4 linked regions of the Xenopus tropicalis genome follow. The protein of the gene in region 3 interacts with the protein of the main gene of each other region in a pairwise test. Links are inferred from orthologs where the notes say so. Each region holds a gene or a part of one and is shown on either strand. Other genes may lie near its edges. The genes, in order: pbx2, nup58, pknox1 and pbx3.

Region 1 (5,684 bases), on a different chromosome or scaffold from region 3:
TGCCTTTTATTACATAACCCCACAAGTCTACAAAGCTTTCTCTGCACTGTTGGTACATTTTCTTTGTAAAGTTCTTTCTTTCCTTCTGACACTTCCATTGAAAGAAGTGTAAGGGCTTTGGCACACGGGGAGACTAGTCGCCTGCGACAAATCTCTCCCTTGAAATGTCATCCCACCAGGGAGAATGTAAATCGCCGATGGGAGGGCATACGATGGCGCCACGATTTCCCCCAAATCGTGGAAGTTGCCTTGAGAGGAAATTTCGGCAAAATCGCGGCGCCCTGTATGCCAATCCCACCACCGATTTACATTCTTGCCTGTGGGATGGCACATGGGGAGATTAGTCACCCGCGACAAATCTCCCTTTGTTATACAGATAAAGGCATTTGGACTGCATTTGGCCTACCTTGGGGGCCATGGGAGTCATACATTTCTTTGTATTTTACAGTATATTATCATCCTACCACACACATATACTCGCAAGAAGTTGGGCAGCACTGATTTTGTATTTACCAGTAATCTATAATCTCATGAAATTGCAATCTCTAATTTTACTCTGTAAGATGTAGATGTGTAAAAAATGATAATGCGCATTTGATGTGTTATATATGCTGAATATGGCCCATACACACAGATGCACACGATTTATGTCATACATACAGGAAACAAAGTCTCCCTGGGAATTAATTTCAAGTGTTGGCAATTATGATGGAAGCCTACACATAGTAGAAATACAGTGACACTGGCTCTGTCCATCGGCTCCCAAAATATCCTTATCAATTTTTTTAAGGTTTTGGTTACTTATTTATTATAATTTCATGCAACCTAGGAAAACCCAAGATAGCTTAGGGTGAAAACCCATGACACATGGAGCTACTAGTAGCAGCTACTTGTCATGGCTACAGAAATAGACAATGCTGATCATTTACTGATAATTTTCTTTACGTGTGTTTTAGCAGAGGCAATTCTTGGTATTGTCTATGGCAGTGTATTTTCTGGTGTTTAGTAGCCGTGAAAAGTAGCTGCTACTAAATAGCTCTGTGTGTCTTCACCATTTGCCTCGCAAGGAAACTTCGGTATGACAAACGTGTCATTTACGTTTTCCGAAGTCACCCGAAGTTTCCTTGCAAAGCAACTTCGAGCAACCGAAGCGATGCATATGCCATCCCACCGGCGATTTACATTCTTGCTGGTGGGATGGCATGTTGGGGAGATTAGTCGCCCGCAAAAGTAAAGATTTATTGTGGGCAACTAATCTCCCTGTGTGCCACTGTCCTTAGGCTAATGTTCCACAGAGGGAGTTAGCCGCCCATGATACCGCAGGCAATTGACCACTGGTTGGGGACCAGTGACTTAGGAAGTCAAGTCAGATGGCGCATTATCCGCTATGCCTCTGGAACTACCTTACATCCACTGATCCATACCCACAGGAAAATAAGTCAAGCCAGGAAGGCTTCTTGTGGCACACGTATAAGCAACTGCTATGCATGCTGGGTAAAATTCACATTACACTGTGAACTATGAATAGTCTTATGGAGGAATATGAATAGAGTAAATAGTCATAAATAAGGTCAAGTCACATAACTGGGGAGCATTAAATAATGCAAACATTTATTTGACATTTCTGCGTTTAAAGCGTTCGATTAAAACTTCACTGGACAACGACCTTGCGATGGATATTGCGAGTATCATTACTGTAAATAGGGCAGGAAACACTAGTAGGCAGCAATGGAGTCGACGTTGAGCCTGAAAAAGCTTTGTGAGAGTTGTAGTTTAGAAACATCTAAAGGGCCAGAGTGCAGTAGGGCGCAGACCGGCGCAGCAAGTAAAGCATTAGGGAGCTGCCGAGAGGGGGCAGCAGTGAGCTGTGATTCCCTAGGAAAGGGGAGAGGCAGGACAAGCACATTCCTCCCTCCTCCCTCTCTCCTCCTTCCCTTTCCCTCCCCCTCCCTAGCTATTCACCATTTTACACTCCTCTTTTCCCAGCTTCAATACAGCGCTACTGGCTTTTTTTAGGGATCCCAGAAAAAAGCGAAGCAGGATTGCACCCCACCCCAAAAATCATCCGGACTGAGCTGTCCGAGTCTTAGCGATTTAGCCGCCCAGGCGCGTCGGACAGTGCAACACGGAGCGATCTATCGGAGGAGCCACTTGAGGAGAAAGGAAGCCTGGGCGCGATCTGTATACACTGCCTACAGTCGGGGCTTCGTAGGCGCTGCTGGGAGAGGAGGCGAATTCCTTCCGAGCAAATCGCATGGTGGAAGCACAGAGCGATCAGTAGAGCAGGACGGGACTACTCGGGGCAGGAGGAGAGTTCTATGAAGGGCAGGGGGAGTTGTACAAGGAGACAGAGCTGAGGGGACAAGTGAGAAACACACATAAAAACAGGAGAGCGATCCCTCGCTGGTGCTCAGATGGATGAACAAGGCAGGCTGATGCAGGCCAGGGGGGTGGGGATTCCAGGACACCCCATTCATGGGGGGCCCCAAACTCTCACTCCTCATCCTATGCATGAACCCCCGGCAGACAATGGGGAGCCCAGGAAACAGGATATCGGTGACATATTGCAACAGATCATGACTATCACGGACCAGAGCCTTGATGAAGCCCAGGCAAAGTGAGTACAAGAGGGAGGGGGTAACGTTAGGTGCTGGAGAGGCCTTTGTGTGTATAGTAGCCTGCTCCGTGTGTATGGTAGCCTGCAATTGTGGGTTTTCCCCTCTGTCCACCAATCCCTGCTCAGGAAGCCCATTACCCGACGCCGAATCCTTCTTTCCACTAAAACAGGCCCAGCAGCTCCCTACACAGCACAGTTTCCAAGCCTTTCACTTCCAAACTTAATGCCCGGTATCCTTTAGCTTTTGAGTGGTCCCTGGAGGATGCTGGGAGTTGTAGTCCAGTTAAAGCAATGTTGGGAATCATGCCATACAGAAGTACTTAGGGGTTCTGGTACCCATAGAAATAAACCTACGACCATGCTAAAGCCCTCCAGGTGTTGTTTTCCCCCAGCTGTTGGGGTTTCAGTGAGTTGTAGTTCAACCAAAATACATTTTAGTGAATTTTGTACAATAACCTTATACTTAATCCTGTATAAAGTGGATATTCTAAATCTGTATGGAAAACTCAAGTAATGTTATAAGTGTAAGCTTTATACACACTTCCTGCTGATTTGTTTTTAAAACTCAGTGTTTAGAAATCCCTTAAATCCCCTTTGTGATGCTGTTAGGCCCAAGCAACATCTGTTCGTGCTGTAAGAGTAAAAGCCATTTACATTTTTGCTTCCTTAGTACAGCACAAACATAAGTTATATTGTATCATTTATGCCTTGCCATTGCTTAGCGGAAAAGTGACATGTAATAATGTAACCAAATGCACGATTCTAAACATTCTGTGTAAGCTGCAGCTGTAGGGTTGACATCTAAGGATTTCCTTTGCCAGGGCTACTAAATCTTTTTCCTGGATATATGATAAATACATATATTAGATGTATAACATAGTAACATAGTTACTATAGATAGATATGTGTGTGTGTTTATCTGTATGTTTATCTTCAAGCTCCTCCCCTTGTTAAACAAGTATGTCTGCCTCCTAACTTTCTCAAAAATGTATCCTCTTACTTTAGCAGCAACAGTTACTCTTTCCATTGGACAATCAGGGGGAACAGAACCCTCAGTCCCAATTAATTCATTATGTGGTCCTTTACTGTAGATATATTGTAAGGGTCTTGTATGATATTTGTGTACCACTGTGCTGTAAAAATAGATGACACACAAATATATACCCTGGTCATACAAATATATGTACAGAGTCAATGGGAAATTAATAATTATTTTTTTTAGAATTTAAGCCCTTGTGAACAAAGCTTCATGTCCACATGTTCCTTCTTTGTTTAATTAAATTTCTTTAACCTTCTTCGACAGAAACCAAATTCAGTATCTTTTCATGACAGTTGTAAGAATCTTCAGTGTATCCAAGTGGATCATAGGGACAAACATTGACCCATTATTGTACCCTAAACAGAACCAGAGTTTTGCTGTACTGCTGTGTAGGGTAGGCCTAAACATATGCAGCCACTCATGGTTTGTGTACTATCAGTCACTGTAATATGCTATGCTTTTGTTACTTATCCCGCGTATATAAAAACAATTCTAGCAACCTAATGCTTATTTAAGGTTAGTGCTCTATAAAATTAACTGTAACCTTTGCAACATGGATTCTTTATTTTCGCCATGTGCATTTGGATAGGCTCTGCAATGTGCTGGATTCCCAAACTGTTAACTTTAGAGCAGCTGCAAAGCAATAGGGCCTTTCTGGAACAGCACTGGTTAAATAAACTCCTTTGTCTGCTACCAGAATTCATAAGAACACCTCATACCTTCCTTTCTGCACTACTACTACATTCCTTATAAATACACATCATAATCACTGCACTTAATCTACCCTATAAACTGCATCTTAATAAGAACATTGATTAGCTCATAACACAACCAGAATGATGTCATTTATCCCATGCTGCTCACTAGGCCTTGCACTTCCATTACTCGTAACCACAGCTATGTTTATTACTATTAAGCTACTCTGTGTAATTGTACTTTCTAAGTATAATACAAGTCAATAATTGAGTCCTTTGCACTGCAAAAGGCTAAGTCTACAGATTGCCTGGCTTTTAGTTGATCTTGTTGACATTACACGATTAGGGAAAACACAGGCTTTTGTTATAATCTGTGATGTGCTTTTAAGGCTTTTGTGATTCTAATAGCACTGTATGCTGCAGTCTTACTGGGTGTAATTTCATCTTATTTCCCTATGAAAATAGAAAAGTTCAAAGGCCCTACAATTTGCTTTTCTTCATGCATCAATCTTGCTATTCTGGTATTTACCTCTGGCAGCCCATAAATGTACAATTGTATGGATATTTATTTTGAGAAGGTGCATTTTATCTAATGGTACAGTCATGCTAATCCAATTAATTCCCTTGGAAAATGAAAAAATATTTGTTATATCAGACTTTTTAAATATTGCCTCTCAGTGAATAACTCACACATTTACCATAGCTGATATTTCTAATATAGAATAGTCTGGCTTTTTTGTTAATGTATTCTATGAATTTTTCCCTTGAAGGAGAGGAAAATGCATGGTGCCCTAGCTTGTTGTTTGTGCACAAAATATCCGTTTTATTAATAATTACCTTTATACATGCATTCCCCACAAAAGAGCATCATTGGCGCTTATGTATAGGTTATCTGTTCTAATAATTTATGTATAAAATGTCTCAGCTGAGGATGTAATCCTCTATTCGTTTGAAGAAAGTATAAATACATAAAAGGACTTCTTTTTTTTTTATACTGTGTAAGATTGTTACAATTGTATCATATTTGTTCTTCTAGTTTATGCTTAGTTAAAGAGGGGTGGATACAATATCCTACTGGTTCCCAAAGTCACTTGTCAAGGAAATACTCTTGTTTTAGCTGAGCTACTGTACTTTTGTATTCAGTTGTATGTGATGTTAACTGGCATTGTTCCATCCTATTTCATCATGCACTTATGCTCATTTCACACAGGACAGTTTCTCTGTCTGTGTATTTTAAGCTGGCCATACACGCACCGATAATATTGTACGAAACCTCATTTAGTACGATATTCGGTGCGTGTATGGCATTTCGGTGAGGTGACCAATATCGCAG
Region 2 (4,985 bases), about 160 Mb from region 3:
GATCAGTCACATGATTATAATGGTTCAGATTCGGTTCAGCCAGCCAGGCACTTGAATTCCACAAAATCCTACAAAAAAAAAAATGCTTTGATTGGGTGCATCCTTCACTCTCTCAATCTCATCATATGTTTCTATTCATTCACTCTTCATGCAGTAGGTGGAGTCAGTTTTGATTGAAAGGCCAAAGTCAATTATTTTGTTTGTTAGCTCTAACACATCTGATAGGAAAGGGAGTGTATTAAACCTACCTGCCAAAATAATAAAAGATGTATTAAACCTACCTGCCAAAATCAAAATATGACCCAGACTTCTGCATAAAAAGGGAATGAAGAGAGACAGAGTAACTTGATTATTTTCAGAGATGTACAGAATTTTGCATTGTTTTTATTTAGAAAGTTCCAATCCATTTTGGAGTTTTAGTTCCACAAGATCGCTGCTGCACTCCTTAATTTTTTCTGTTAAGAAACAAGGGATGTATTTGGTTTATAAAAAGTTTATGTAAGCTCCCTCTTTTGCACTGAACACGATTATTTGAGCACGTTTCACGGAGGGGTTTTTATAAAGACAAAAATACTACACTGTGTGTGTGTGTGTGTGTGTGTGTGTGTGTGTGTGTGTGTGTGTGTATATATATAATATATATATATATATATATATATCTCATATAATAAAATTACTGTTTGTTCTGTGCTTCTATCCCAAAGCCACCGGTGCTGGAAGAATTTCTATATAATATTAATTACTAAATTTAGACCCCACCAAGGTGAAACCAGAAGCATTGATACTTTGTGCATTTATAAGCTAATCTACACTATGTGTTTTCATTGCCTCATTTTCTTCACAGGGATAGCAAAGCATTTAAAGATGACAATCTACCTCAGTTGTTATGTCAAGATGTAGAAAATTTCCAGTAAGTATGGGCGGAAAACTTTGATAAATCCATCAGTGGTGCATTCATAGGTGCTGGCAAAAGATAAGAGCCACATGGAATGGCTCTCCGTAGATGCATTCCTTTGTAAGTGCATTGTTTTTTGGCTCATGTATAACATATTAACAATGTGTTGGTTATTACATGAAACAAAAAAAACAGTCACACAGTGGGTAACCGTTCATATTCTGTTTTTTTGTTAATGTCTAAAGGGATTATTCACTATCCATGGGGGGTGGATATCCTGGAGCACAAGCAAGTGTCCCTTATTGCTCACTTACAGAGCACTTATGCCCCCAGGGTTCCTAATTTTTTTTTCTTTTTAATTAGTGTTTTCAAAAATTGAATGTTCCTGATTTCTCAAAGTTTTGCTCTGGAAACTGATTCCTTGTTTGGTGACATTTGTTTTCTCGGTTCACAGGAAATTTGTGAAGGAGCAGAAACAAGTCCAGGAAGAGATCAGCCGAATGTCCTCCAAAGCAATGCTGAAAGTACAGGAAGACATTAAGGCATTAAGACAGCTTTTATCTGTTGCATCCAGCGGCCTCCAAAGGAATTCCTTGGCTATTGACAAGCTGAAAATTGAAACAGCTCAGGTACTCTTAATGATAGCAGTGGCTCAGAGTAAATTTCTATAATGCAGTAAAAATACTGGGTCAGATATTCAGTCTAAAAAACATCTTGCTCACAAATATTTTATAAAACTGAATAATGTAATGCATTGGGTATAAGAATGGTTGGAATTGTATACAGGTCAGTATGTCTGCTCTAACTGCTAGACAGTACAGACCCTGCTAAGTGTTTTATCATATTGTTTTATATTTTCTAGTTTTTTGTTTTTTTTTCGTTTTCTATATTTATTTTAGGAACTTAAGAATGCTGAAATAGCTTTAAGGACACAGAAAACACCTCCTGGACTTCAGCATGAAAATACTGCTCCAGCCGAGTAAGTTTATTTGAACAATTATTTGGGATCGTGCCACCTGAGGTTTTCTTAAAGCCACATAAAAGAAAAACATGTCCTGTAATCTAATAAAAATGCAAAGTTTGCACCAGGTTTGGAAACCCTTGGCATCAAGGTTGAGGTTTTAAAAGGGTCCTGTCACCCAGACAATAAAGAGATGTATAATAAGTCCTTTCCAATTAAAAATAAAACTCAAATTGTTTTTGTTAAAACATCCATGCCTGTTATAATAGTATTTAAAAATCTAAGATGTCAATCATGTATTGCCTGCCCCACCTCTATGCCTCAGGCATACAGGTCAGGATGGGCAATTACTTAAACTTTAAACATTTCCTAGATGTCATTGCACTTATCAACTTCCACTCTATCGCTTCCAGGGTTGGACTGGGGGGTGCAGGGCCCACCGGGGCTGCCATCCCAGGGGCCCTGCTGAGCCTCCCTTGCCCCCTGCTGAGCCTCTCTTACCCCCGCAGGGTCCTCCACCTGACGTCCTCCCCTGAGCACGCATAAGTTTAACGCGTCGGGAGCAACGGTTGGCCGGGGGACGGGTCTGGCCCTTCGCTGTCCCGCCGGCCCAGTCCGACCCTGATCAATTCCTATAATTGTGTAGCACGAATGTGTTCATTTTGGGGTGATGACACAAAGCTTACCTTAATATCATTGTCCACTATACCCTCCCAGGTATAAAATTGAATTCTCATTTCTAGCTATGTTACGAATGTTTACTTTAAATTACCATCTGCCTAGCTAAGGCAATTTATTCTGATTTTTCTGGTTGCAATTGTCCGCTAAAGGACAATGAATCTATATAGATGAGTCCTAACATTTGCTTTAGAGCACTGATTGCATCATTTGAAGGGTTCTTTTTCCAAACAGTAAATGGTTTAGCTTTTCCTTCATCTGTGTGCAGTGGTTCCATGACCTTACTTAAGCTGGTGATACACAGGAAGACCAAATTGTTAGTTAAATCGCATATGTATGAGAAAATACAGTTAAAATATCTATCAGAAAATACCAACCATCTTACAATGGCCCCTATTATGATCCAGTTGTTGGCCCTAAGGCCAAGCAGTTGGATTTGGCCAACCAAGCGAGCAGATCTTTTGGTTCATGATCAGCTTTACTGACATCATACAGCTTCTCCCCTTTGTTTTAGCTAATGATTTTAGTGGCGCATGTACCATTTTGTTAATTTTTTATTTTTTTTTTGGTAGTTATTTTCACACACTGGTGCAACAGTTTGAGGTCCAGTTACAGCAATACAGACAGCAAATTGAGGAACTGGAGAATCATCTAGCAACACAGTCAAATAGTTCACATTTGTCTCCCCAAGGTAACCAGATTTAGTCCCATAAGTTACTGTTTTATTTATCTGTGCATTTACAAACTTGTATTCCTGTATGTCAGTGTTGTTTATAAGAGACAAAAGTGAATGTCTTTTTCCAGACGCACACAGGAATGGAAGAACTCACTGTGGAGAACTGTCATGCTTTTTAAACTCATTGGAGGCAGATCCATTTCAATTCATTTTCTTGGTCAAAGAGTATAAAACATATTGCAAGAGGGTGCTGGGTGCTTTTCTCAAATGCGATTTGCGCTGAACAGCTGCTTGCAAAATTGCGATATACATCAATTAATAATATGCAGCATTTTTAGAATTTTTAATGTAATATAATTTAGAACAGTTACCTAGGCCTGGCCCCTGTCTCCTGCTGATCTGGCTGACTACTTTGATACTAAAAAAAAAAAAATAGTCGACTGTTCCTTAGCCTGTATCCTCAAAATCCAACAGTATAGCCATTTGTGTGCCTGGCGTCCTATTGGTTTGCTGACTGTGTTTTAAAGTGTTAGGCTGCTTTGTGTTTTCGATCTGACTGGAATAGAACCTAGTACTAAAATGATCTAGAACTAGAATACAACAAGATAGTCCACTTTATAGGGAGAAGGCATTGTAGACAATCTAGGTACTGGCGAGTTTGTATTCTTTTATGTTCTTACCTGTTGCATTTTATGTTGTTCATGTTTATATGTGTTTGTAATGTATTACCAACCACACACAGCCATTCCTAATCAGTACTGTGTTTTTCATGCTAGATTTGTCATTGGCAATGCAGAAGCTTTACCAAACATTTGTGGCCTTAGCTGCCCAGCTCCAGGCAGTAAATGAAAATGTTAAGGTAAGCGATAAGGATAATTTTTCTTGTGTTCTGAGACGCTATTGGATACCAACTAGAATATGTACTGAATACGTTCATAAACTTACCTGGATATAAGAAGTATTCTAAAATGCAGTGCTTGTAATTTCAATGTCTGTTTTGACTTCACTGGTTAAATCGTAGTATAAAAGCCAGAACTTGAGTGCTAAATCCAACACTTTCAAATGAGCAAAGCTGTTAAATAATTAGAACTTCCACCCCTTCACAATTGTACATATTGGTCCGACTTGAGTTTTGTAATTTTTGGTTATTGTTTTCATGTATATATTTTTTTTAAAATTCCAAGCTAAATCTGAGTGGTCTGCTGGCATTGTCTCTTTGATATAAAATCATATATAAGCACCAGAAGATATATGTAGCTCCTGAATATCTGAACATACTTACATATAATAATGCCTGTATGAAGGGTCAATGTTTCTACTTTGTAGGAAATGACTTTACAGATAAGGGGATCTTATAAATGGTGTCCACCTTTCCAGTTGCTTTCCATTATGTGCCTTTAGCAGTGCAAACTAAAATGGCTTTCCTTCAGATGCTCAAAGAACAGTACCTTGGCTACCGGAAAGCATATTTGGGCGACTCAGCAGATGTCTTTGAGGCGAGGCGAGCAGAAGCGAAGAAGTGGCAGAGTGCACCGCGTGTTACCACCGGACCCACCCCTTTCAGCAACATACCAAACGCCGCTGCCGTTGCCATGGCTGCAACATTAACGCAACAGCAGCAGCCTACCACAGGTCTGAATGCATTCAAGTTATAGATCTCTTCTGTTCTGACCTCAGTAAACTCCTGTCAACTTTTACACTGGGTCGTCTTATGCTGACAAAACATTCGTTATTTTATTTTTATTTTTTTTAACTACATAAAGCTTTTAGAATAT
Region 3 (5,783 bases):
GGGGCACTTTCCCGCCTCGCTTTCCCACACTGGCGCAAAGTCGCTGGGCACATGGGGCACTTTCCCGCCTCGCTTTCCCACACTGGTGCAAAGTCGCTGGGCACAGAAGGGCACTTTCCCGCCTCCCTTTCCCACACTGGCGCAAAGTCGCTGGGCACAGAGGGGCACTTTCCCGCCTCGCTTTCCCACACTGGCGCAAAGTCGCTGGGCACATGGGGCACTTTCCCGCCTCGCTTTCCCACACTGGCGCAAAGTCGCTGGGCACATGGGGCACTTTCCCGCCTCGCTTTCCCACACTGGCGCAAAGTCGCTGGGCACATGGGGGCACTTTCCCGCCTCGCTTTCCCACACTGGCGCAAAGTCGCTGGGCACATGGGGCACTTTCCCGCCTCGCTTTCCCACACTGGCGCAAAGTCGCTGGGCACAGAAGGGCACTTTCCCGCCTCCCTTTCCCACACTGGCGCAAAGTCGCTGGGCACAGGGGGCACTTTCCCGCCTCCCTTTCCCACACTGGTGCAAAGTCGCTGGGCACAGAGGGCACTTTCCCGCCTCCCTTTCCCACACTGGCGCAAAGTCGCTGGGCACAGGGGGCACTTTCCCGCCTCCCTTTCCCACACTGGCGCAAAGTCGCTGGGCACAGAGGGCACTTTCCCGCCTCGCTTTCCCACACTGGCGCAAAGTCGCTGGGCACAGAGGGCACTTTCCCGCCTCGCTTTCCCACACTGGCGCAAAGTCGCTGGGCACAGAAGGGCACTTTCCCGCCTCCCTTTCCCACACTGGCGCAAAGTCGCTGGGCACAGGGGGCACTTTCCCGCCTCCCTTTCCCACACTGGCGCAAAGTCGCTGGGCACAGGGGGCACTTTCCCGCCTCGCTTTCCCACACTGGCGCAAAGTCGCTGGGCACAGGGGGCACTTTCCCGCCTCCCTTTCCCACACTGGCGCAAAGTCGCTGGGCACAGGGGGCACTTTCCTGCCTCGCTTTCCCACACTGGCGCAAAGTCGCTGGGCACAGGGGGCACTTTCCCGCCTCCCTTTCCCACACTGGCGCAAAGTCGCTGGGCACAGAGGGCACTTTCCCGCCTCGCTTTCCCACACTGGCGCAAAGTCGCTGGGCACAGAAGGGCACTTTCCCGCCTCCCTTTCCCACACTGGCGCAAAGTCGCTGGGCACAGGGGGCACTTTCCCGCCTCCCTTTCCCACACTGGCGCAAAGTCGCTGGGCACAGGGGGCACTTTCCTGCCTCGCTTTCCCACACTGGCGCAAAGTCGCTGGGCACAGAAGGGCACTTTCCCGCCTCCCTTTCCCACACTGGCGCAAAGTCGCTGGGCACAGGGGGCACTTTCCCGCCTCCCTTTCCCACACTGGCGCAAAGTCGCTGGGCACAGGGGGCACTTTCCCGCCTCCCTTTCCCACACTGGCGCAAAGTCGCTGGGCACAGGGGGCACTTTCCCGCCTCCCTTTCCCACACTGGCGCAAAGTCGCTGGGCACAGGGGGCACTTTCCCGCCTCGCTTTCCCACACTGGCGCAAAGTCGCTGGGCACAGGGGGCACTTTCCTGCCTCGCTTTCCCACACTGGCGCAAAGTCGCTGGGCACAGGGGGCACTTTCCCGCCTCGCTTTCCCACACTGGCGCAAAGTCGCTGGGCACAGGGGGCACTTTCCCACACTGGCGCAAAGTCGCTGGGCACAGAGGGCACTTTCCCGCCTCCCTTTCCCACACTGGCGCAAAGTCGCTGGGCACAGGGGGCACTTTCCCGCCTCGCTTTCCCACACTGGCGCAAAGTCGCTGGGCACAGGGGGCACTTTCCCGCCTCCCTTTCCCACACTGGCGCAAAGTCGCTGGGCACAGGGGGCACTTTCCCGCCTCGCTTTCCCACACTGGCGCAAAGTCGCTGGGCACAGGGGGCACTTTCCCGCCTCCCTTTCCCACACTGGCGCAAAGTCGCTGGGCACAGGGGGCACTTTCCCGCCTCCCTTTCCCACACTGGCGCAAAGTCGCTGGGCACAGGGGGCACTTTCCCGCCTCGCTTTCCCACACTGGCGCAAAGTCGCTGGGCACAGGGGGCACTTTCCCGCCTCGCTTTCCCACACTGGCGCAAAGTCGCTGGGCACAGGGGGCACTTTCCCGCCTCGCTTTCCCACACTGGCGCAAAGTCGCTGGGCACAGGGGGCACTTTCCCGCCTCGCTTTCCCACACTGGCGCAAAGTCGCTGGGCACAGGGGGCACTTTCCCGCCTCCCTTTCCCACACTGGCGCAAAGTCGCTGGGCACAGGGGGCACTTTCCCGCCTCGCTTTCCCACACTGGCGCAAAGTGGGCCTCAGTAGAACCCGCAGGGCGGGGCCAATGAGAGTAATACTCAGAAGTGGGCGGTCGGTGCGTACATACGTGTGGCGCTAAAGGGCGGCATGGTAATAAGCGGCGTGGTACGTGATGACGTAGGCGCCCCTGCGGGTCCCGATTGCTGCAGCCGCTTGTCAGTGTGACGAAGATTGGCAGCGGGTAATGTGTCAGTCACAGCGCCGCCCGCCCGCCCGCTCTACTCCCGCTGCTTCCCGGCAGCCGCCGCGCCCCCTGTGGGCACCGCTAGCGCCCCTCCCAGCCCCACTGGGCCCTACCGACACCGCCAGGCTGCCCCCTTTCCGCTGTGCGCGCCCCCGCACCCACCCGCTCTCCTGCACTGCGCGCCGCCGGACCCTCCCTCATCCTCCCCCCCGCCTGTGCGCGCACACCCCTGTCTGTAGTCACATGGGCTGAGCAGCCTATCCGCGCCCGGCTCTTTCTCTATCGGCCAATCGGCGCTGAGCGGGAACTGTTACTGGGGAGGGAAGGGAATGTAGGGAACGCGCGGGGAGGGGCCAGCTGCTGGGGGCGGGGTATGGGGGCTCAATCTGTGAGTGGGTAGTGCTGAAGGGAGGGGCACAGTACTGAGGGATGATATATATATGTTGGGCCATATGTACACAGTGACATGTTGGTGTGTGGGGCCCTGTGTCAGTCTGAGAGACATTCATGGGCTGTATGGGGCAACATTGGGCCCTGTGTGTGGGGGGGGCTACCAGTAGGCTATGGTGGGGCCCAAATATACAGGGCCCATATATACACAGGGGGGTATAGTGTGTGTATGGGGGGGCCCATATATAGACAGAGTGGGGCCACATGTATGGGGGTATAGTGTGTGTATGGGGGGGCCCATATATAGACAGAGTGGGGCCACATGTATGGGGGTATAGACAGACTAGGCCTGAGGGACAGCGGTGGGGAAGCCCCCAGTTCTGTTGGAGAGGACAGAGGTAAAAGTCCACTTTTTACACATAATTTAAAAATCCACATTTTCATAAACCAAATATATTAATTTCTGCCCATTTTATTCCTCACACTAAAGGTTGTCTGTCCTAGTTTCCCCACTCAGTTCCACTTGTAAAATGGGATTCCTGGGGCCACAGTTTTGTGGGGTTCAGCGACACCTGGTACATTCCCCGATTAGCTGGGTATTAACCGGACCTGCTGACCCTACTCATAGGCCTAAGGTAACCGGACCCGCTGAGTAGGGATAGGCCTAAGGTAACCGGACCTGCTGAGTAGGGATAGGCCTAAGGTAACCGGACCCGCTGAGTAGGGATAGGCCTAAGGTAACCGGACCCGCTGAGTAGGGATAGGCCTAAGGTAACCGGACCCGCTGAGTAGGGATAGGCCTAAGGTAACCGGACCCGCTGAGTAGGGATAGGCCTAAGGTAACCGGACCTGCTGAGTAGGGATAGGCCTAAGGTAACCAAACCCACTGAGTAGGGATAGGCCTAAGGTAACCGGACCTGCTGAGTAGGGATGGGCCTAAGGTAACCGGACCTGCTGAGTATTGATAGGCCTAAGGTAACCGGACCTGCTGAGTAGGTATAGGCCTAAGGTAACCGGACCCGCTGAGTAGGGATAGGCCTAAGGTAACCGGGCCCGCTGAGTAGGGATAGGCCTAAGGTAACCAAACCCACTGAGTAGGGATAGGCCTAAGGTAACCGGACCTGCTGAGTAGGGATAGGCCTAAGGTAACCGGACCTGCTGAGTAGGGATAGGCCTAAGGTAACCGGACCTGCTGAGTAGGGATGGGCCTAAGGTAACCGGACCTGCTGAGTATTGATAGGCCTAAGGTAACCGGGCCTGCTGAGTAGGTATAGGCATAAGGTAACCGGACCCGCTGAGTAGGGATAGGCCTAAGGTAACCGGACCTGCTGAGTAGGGATAGGCCTAAGGTAACCAAACCCGCTGAGTAGGGATAGGCCTAAGGTAACCGGACCTGCTGAGTAGGGATAGGCCTAAGGTAACCGGACCCGCTGAGTAGGGATAGGCCTAAGGTAACCGGGCCTGCTGAGTAGGGATAGGCCTAAGGTAACCGGACCTGCTGAGTAGGGATAGGCCTAAGGTAACCGGACCTGCTGAGTAGGGATAGGCCTAAGGTAACTGGGCCTGCTGAGTAGGGATAGGCCTAAGGTAACTGGGCCTGCTGAGTAGGGATAGGCCTAAGGTAACCGGACCTGCTGAGTAGGGATGGGCCTAAGGTAACCGGACCTGCTGAGTATTGATAGGCCTAAGGTAACCGGGCCTGCTGAGTAGGTATAGGCATAAGGTAACCGGACCCGCTGAGTAGGGATAGGCCTAAGGTAACCGGACCTGCTGAGTAGGGATAGGCCTAAGGTAACCGGGCCTGCTGAGTAGGGATAGGCCTAAGGTAACCGGACCCGCTGAGTAGGGATAGGCCTAAGGTAACCGGACCTGCTGAGTAGGGATAGGCCTAAGGTAACCGGACCTGCTGAGTATTGATAGGCCTAAGGTAACCGGGCCTGCTGAGTAGGTATAGGCATAAGGTAACCGGACCCGCTGAGTAGGGATAGGCCTAAGGTAACCGGACCTGCTGAGTAGGGATAGGCCTAAGGTAACCGGGCCTGCTGAGTAGGGATAGGCCTAAGGTAACCGGACCCGCTGAGTAGGGATAGGCCTAAGGTAACCGGACCCGCTGAGTAGGGATAGGCCTAAGGTAACCGGGCCTGCTGAGTAGGTATAGGCATAAGGTAACCGGACCCGCTGAGTAGGGATAGGCCTAAGGTAACCGGACCTGCTGAGTAGGGATAGGCCTAAGGTAACCGGGCCTGCTGAGTAGGGATAGGCCTAAGGTAACCGGACCCGCTGAGTAGGGATAGGCCTAAGGTAACCGGACCTGCTGAGTAGGGATAGGCCTAAGGTAACCAAACCCGCTGAGTAGGGATAGGCCTAAGGTAACCGGACCTGCTGAGTAGGGATCAACTATTATTTTAGGACACACAGTGGGTCCTTTGACCATGAGAAACCCAGTCATAGAATGTTCTTTACTTTCCTTTTGGGAGAAACTCGGGTTCAGCCTGAGGGGTCTCAGGGATGGGACAGAGAGTTCTCCCCCCCCCAATGTACAATAGAGGGTGGAGTTTAAAGAACATGTAAACCCCCCACACACAAATATTTTAACAGTGAAAAGCCTCCTTGAAATCTTTCAATACCTGCCCCACTGGGTGCCCAGAGGTTAATAGAAAGGCTGCAACATCCCCTTAATCACTTAGATTTCCTTCTCTTCCTGTAACCCACTCGCCCCCCCCTCAGGAATTTGCTATGACTTCTGGCTTGTGGGCATGCTCAGTTGTTCTAAGCTCAGATTACTAAACACCCCCCCCAGCCTAGCAGCCAATGATGAGATGGCATTTGCTGGTTACCATAGAAACTCAGTTCTAGTTGTCTGCTTCAATTTTTTTCTCCTAACCTCCT
Region 4 (5,730 bases), on a different chromosome or scaffold from region 3:
CCCCCACCCACCTACCTGAGAGCCAGCAGGGATTTATATGCAACAATAGAGGAAGCAGGCCCCACGGTTTGGGTCCCCCTGTTCCACGGACCTTCCGTGGCTGCAGGGTCTGTTTCCTCTATTATTACACTAATGCAGTCACCGCATGGTGCAACAGCAGATGAGCAAGTGGAGAAGTACTGCAGTTGCTTCACTTCCTGCTGTTGTGATCATTGGGTTGTCTACCCAAATGATTGAAACAACAGAAAGGCAGCCATGGAGTGGATGTCCCCTTTGACGCACTCTGTGTGAGCTGAACTCTATCTGATCAGTTGTGAACATTCCTGATCAGACAATGTATAGCCACCTTGGGTGTTCATGGCAGATTCCTGATTTCATAATGTTCACTAACAACAAAGTTATGAACTTAGAAATTCACTAGAGGGTTTGAACTGAAAAAGACCATTGCCCTAGACTAGAATGACCCAATGACTGGGGTAACAGGGTTGAAGGCCATTTTGGGTTAGTTAAGTTATATGTGTTAAATACTGTCCTACATACTCCTGGAAGCCTGTATGGCCGGTCAGTGTGATATCTGGAGTAATAGCTTGTACAATGTTTTTATACTGTATATATGTCACTATGTTAATGGGTAAGGGATGGACCACTAAGAAGTGCATCATGTTTTTGATGAAAAAAAGCTGTTTTATTTTCTTTTGTCATATCTAAAATTTAATTAGCCCCCTAAACTCCCATTTGGTAGGTCACTGAATTCTAGATCTGGGCACACGTTTACACCACTCTTCAGTGTTTGACTGAATCAGCTGCAGGGGAAGGGCCACAACTAGTGGAAGGCAGCAGAGGCATGTGCCTTGGGTGCAAGTGAGCAGGCCTGAGGGCCCTGTGCGTGAATGAGGGGGATGGTATTTTCATTGGAGCAAGCAAGCAGGGTACAAGGCTCCACCCCCCCTCCAATGGTCTGGGCCCAATAAACCCTATGTGACTAGCCTTATTGCTCAAAAATACTTTTCGCTGGGGTACCTCATTAACTTTCATCTACCAATGTGGAAAAGCAAACTACTGGATAGGGTTCAATATAGCCACCTATACATGCAGGCAACTTGCTTACAATTCTGTTGTTCAACTAGGGCTGGGCGGTATGACCAAACATTTTTCAAAATTATATCGGTGTCACGGTATTTGACGGTATTTTTTTTTTCCATGCATGATTAGGTGTTAACCCCATTTCCTAATAAATTAGAGAATAATTACTGCAGTATTGAAAATCAGAGTCAGGCAAGCGAAGGATCGGCAACAGAAAGTCGTAAGGTAAATCAGGCAGGCTTAGTTTCCCAGGCAAGGCCGCAGACAACATAGCACAGGAGGAGGAGTTTGATAGCTTTAAATATCCCCCACGCATGCGCAGGACCGGCGCCATCAGCGCATCATGGACGTGCACGCTTTGATATGTACGTGCGCTTTGACGCACGCGCACCTGGACGCCTGTGCGCAATGTCCCGCAGACAACGGGCCGCACGGGTGAGTACCCTGACACCCCGGTATTGCGGTATCTGAAAAATGAATATAGTTTAAAAAAAACAACACCGGTATTCGGTATTAAACGGTATATCGCCCAGCCCTATGTTCAACACTACCTTACCATTAGCCTGGGTTGAGTTTTGGAGCCAATGGTAATTGCAGCGGCTAAAACTGACATAACTAGCCAGACGATGTCCAGCAAAGTTGGCCAAAATATGGCAGCCATGGTTGGACATTGGGGGGGGACCCCCTGCCTAGATAGGAGATACTTGAGACCTACCAATGTAAGTGCCTAAGCAGCCTTATTAGTTCCAATGAGAGCATAAAATGTAAGCTTTTCTACTACTCTCTTCCTTCTCTCACCATTTATACCTTGTTTTGTTTGAAAAAAAAATAACATTATGCAACATAACCAGGTAACATGTTGTTTATATATCCTTCATACCAGGTGGGCCTGCAGGATACTCACGCTTAACTAAACTCCAAAAACCCTGTTCAACGACAACTTTTACCCGAGTTGGGCAGCCACTTTCCTCACTGAGAAGCAACGAGAGCGGAGCTGATGCTGCCCTTTCTCCTCACTCGCAGCATCCCTCAATCTCCCGCCCTGCCCGCTGCCATGGAAACCAGAGGAGGACCAGCCGCCCAATCCCCGCCCACTAAAGAAAAATGACCGTATGAGTATGAACATTCCAATTCACGAATCATAAAGTGTTTGGACCGGCGGGAACACTACGCGGCGGCAACCTACCTTGCTCTCACCTTCACCGGCTAACGATGATAGGAAGAAGAGCAAAGTTCAGACAGGCCATTGGTTACCTGTCACACCTCGCATAGCAACGGCGGCAAAGGTGCGTCGCAGCGCCCTAGCAACCGCCAAACCCGCGCCATTTCTCCGAGGCGAGTGGGGAGCGGGCGGGGGATAGAAGGAGAGTGGGGAGAAGCGACAATAGCGCCGCCCTTTGCCCCTCCCCCTTTCCTTTCTCGGGGCCCCGCACACGGGGAGGAGGAGCCTACCTCCATTATTTATATTTTGTCTCCCTTTTTATTTCCTCCCCTCCTTCAAAGTCTGACACGTCCGCAGTGAGTGAGTGGCGTTGGCAGCCTGTCAATCCGTCACCGGAGCCGGCAAGAGCGAAATAGCGGGGGAAGCAGCCATAAATCCCGCCCGGGAGTCCCGGCACCGGCCCCTCCATCCATCTCTTCCCCTCAGCTCCCCTTAGCCGCCGCCGCCGCCGAGAAGGGGAAAAAAAACTTTTTTTGATTGCTGCTCTGAGCCACCATCATCATCATCATCATCTTCCCCACACCGGGCACCTTAACCATTTCTATCTTATTACTCCCATTAATAGCTCAAGCTGCTGCTGCTTCTTCTCCCCCCACCCCTGGGCACAACTTTCATTTAGATTTTCTATACAAATATTTAATTTTGTAGTTTTCTTTTATTTATTTTTTTTTTTTACTACTGATTTGATGTTGGACACGACCCTGCAAAGGAGCTACCATCAGTCACTGATTTATTTATTTCTCTTAGAAAGGAGAATACTACCGGAGCAGCCGGAGATTGGCAGCGCTCGCTCAGAGAAGTGGATGAAGGATTGACTGGAAAACCCTGGTCCGAAATCAAAAAAAAAAATCAAAAGGGATCAATAAATGACCATCGTGGACATTGCTGAAAACGCGTTGATCTTTTCATCAAAATAGTCTGAATGTAATTCATTTCTATGCTGGCCAAAATGCATGGATGGGATAAGCACCGAATAGAAACTTGATTTTTTTTTTTTTTTTAATAATAAAACACGACTGGAACTGCTGTGAAGGAACATGTGTCACTAGTACTTATAGTGACGTAGAGGTTTGTGCTACATTTGAACATCTTTGTAGCAGATTTATTTTCCTCATTTGGAATGCATTGTTGGAATTGAAAAGAATTGAAATAAAGACTGAATTTACAGCAGCTCGTAATACTTCAAGAACTCAGAACCAGGTGCTCACTTGTTATTCTATTGAAAACTTAACACTATGTGAAAGGAGTAAACACAAATCATGCCTCTGCTGTGTGTGCCGTCATTTTGGAGTAAACTCTGACTGACCTGTCATTACCTGAAGATTAAAATACAGACAGAAGAAGATGCTGACTTTCATTTGCAACTTTTAATATGCCCCCTTTTCTCGTCCACGTTTTCTTGGAATAAAAAAAAAAAGAAACTTGACCTCTTCAGAAAGAGCATTTTTAAAATAAAAAGATTTTAGCTGCTGAAGGCGATCGCACCTGTAATACATTTTTATGAAACCCTACATGTTGTGGTTCTGATATTTGGATGGTATTTACATTGGTGGGATGAAATACTATCACAGACCTTGATTTAAAACTGCTCTGTCCATAGAGACTGGGTATCTGGTTGGATTCTGACGGTTGACGTTGTTGATGTGTGGGGCAGTAACCCCACAGCGGTGCTATCACTGGCTGTGAGGTCTCCTTGCAGTCTGTGTTGTCATTGATTAGGCTGCGGAGAAGAGTATGGACGAACAGACCAGGATGATGCAGACTTTGGCTGGGGTGGCCATGGCTGGCCACTCGGTTCAAGGGGGAATGACTTTACCTCCTCCCCATGGTCACGATGGGGGAGATGGTGACGGCAGGAAGCAGGACATTGGAGACATCCTGCACCAGATTATGACCATAACTGATCAAAGCTTGGATGAGGCACAAGCAAAGTTGGTTTCCACTGCAATAAAAACACACACACACACATCACCCCTTTCCCTCCCAACACATCACAGCAGCACATCACTCCAGTTCATCTTGGAGTGAACAACTTCTTACAAGCTGTTTGTCAAATAAACCAGCACATGTTTGGGTAGCGATGAGCAGTGTCTGAGATGCTGCTCGAAGCTGCTTGCATGGGGGTGAGATGATGCCCACGCTAGCAAACTGATATAAACACAGCTCGCAGCTATAACCAGGCTCTTGTTTATTTGTATGTAGAGATTCTCCCCTGGTGCTTGTAAATGTAGCTTCCAGGACCCCTCCAGTCCTTTCTCTTTCTGCCAGTGGGGTTGACACTGTCCCTATATATGGGGGAAAAACAATCATTATAAATAAATGTGGTTATGATGGAAATTACTAGTCTTTTACTGGCCTATGTATTAACAGAGTGTTTCCTATAAATGCCTCTTTAGGTTTATTCATTTCTCAACAAAAAAAGGCATACCATTTTCTGGTTCTAATCCATATATTGTCTATTAATTATAGATCTACTTCCAGGGCCACGTAAATATTTCTTTTCAAGCGCCTTTTAGGGGGAGTGTTATAAATTGGCATGTGTATGTGTATATATGGACACGCACATCAAGGAAAATGTTTATGTAGTCATTAATTGCTACCCAACTGCTGCTTAGTTCCTGACAATATGTGTGTGGGGGTATATATCTATATATATATATATATATATATATATATATATATATATATATTGAGATTTGATGTTATGAGTACAGTGTACATTAATTTTGTGAATACATTCCCCATTTCCTCACATATATTTACAAATAAATATTGTGGTTTTTTTGCATGCATCTGATGGATATTTTATGATATAATTAGGAGAACTGTAAAAAATCAAGTGCAGAAAATGTATAGCTGTGATAAAGTTAGCTCTTTTTAATAAATCACTAGATGTGGCTAGAAGCAGCTTGTTGCAGACAAGGACTGATTTATATTTTGAATAATAGCAAGCTAATTTGACATGTGAGTAAACATTAAATATTGTAAACCCTTCATAGTAAAAGCACCGCATCCAAAGTGTCAATCAGTTTTTGCAACTGTAGCAGGTGTGACTTAGTTCCCCCAAACTGAAAAATGTTGATGGCAATTAATAGCCTGCATATGGCAATCTATCAACTGTTTTTGATAGGGCTGATAAATCAGTGTATATAAAATGCAATTATTGTTTCTTGAAGTGGTAATGTCACATAAACGGAAAAGAATTCAGGCAGTCTCCTCATTATTTATAGCTAAGTGAAAGGCATAATTTTTGTTTATCTTAAACATATAATCACACACATTGTCTATTTCTAGTTGTACTGTGCTAGAGAATATGTGGGTGCCTTTTAAGTTATATGCGGTAGAGGAATGTAGTAATATTTTTTATATTTAATTCTTTTACAGAAAGCATGCACTAAACTGCCATAGGATGAAACCAGCCCTCT

What was found.
Region 1: the proteins of pknox1 (region 3) and pbx2 interact in binary tests that used the Homo sapiens proteins (3 or more experiments, as listed by UniProt). The link is inferred for Xenopus tropicalis from reciprocal best matches to the Homo sapiens genes PKNOX1 and PBX2.
Region 2: the proteins of pknox1 (region 3) and nup58 interact in binary tests that used the Homo sapiens proteins (3 or more experiments, as listed by UniProt). The link is inferred for Xenopus tropicalis from reciprocal best matches to the Homo sapiens genes PKNOX1 and NUP58.
Region 4: the proteins of pknox1 (region 3) and pbx3 interact in a two-hybrid assay, tested with the Homo sapiens proteins (2 studies listed by BioGRID and IntAct). The link is inferred for Xenopus tropicalis from reciprocal best matches to the Homo sapiens genes PKNOX1 and PBX3.

The regions. Positions count from the first base shown.
Region 1 is NC_030684.2:73,505,888-73,511,571, forward strand, and holds the start of pbx2 (pre-B-cell leukemia transcription factor 2), read left to right. Parts: upstream 1-1,961; 5' UTR 1,962-2,414; coding exon 2,415-2,617; intron 2,618-5,684. UniProt on the Homo sapiens protein: Transcriptional activator that binds the sequence 5'-ATCAATCAA-3'. Activates transcription of PF4 in complex with MEIS1.
Region 2 is NC_030678.2:156,327,572-156,332,556, reverse strand, and holds part of nup58 (nucleoporin p58/p45), read left to right. Parts: intron 1-844; coding exon 845-910; intron 911-1,349; coding exon 1,350-1,524; intron 1,525-1,794; coding exon 1,795-1,874; intron 1,875-3,106; coding exon 3,107-3,225; intron 3,226-3,986; coding exon 3,987-4,069; intron 4,070-4,640; coding exon 4,641-4,865; 3' UTR 4,866-4,985. UniProt on the Homo sapiens protein: Component of the nuclear pore complex, a complex required for the trafficking across the nuclear membrane.
Region 3 is NC_030678.2:316,019-321,801, reverse strand, and holds the start of pknox1 (homeobox protein PKNOX1), read left to right. Parts: upstream 1-2,395; 5' UTR 2,396-2,501; intron 2,502-5,783. UniProt on the Homo sapiens protein: Activates transcription in the presence of PBX1A and HOXA1.
Region 4 is NC_030684.2:27,662,035-27,667,764, reverse strand, and holds the start of pbx3 (pre-B-cell leukemia transcription factor 3), read left to right. Parts: upstream 1-2,224; 5' UTR 2,225-2,369; intron 2,370-2,423; exon of another isoform or gene 2,424-3,052; 5' UTR 3,053-4,039; coding exon 4,040-4,236; intron 4,237-5,689; coding exon 5,690-5,730. UniProt on the Homo sapiens protein: Transcriptional activator that binds the sequence 5'-ATCAATCAA-3'.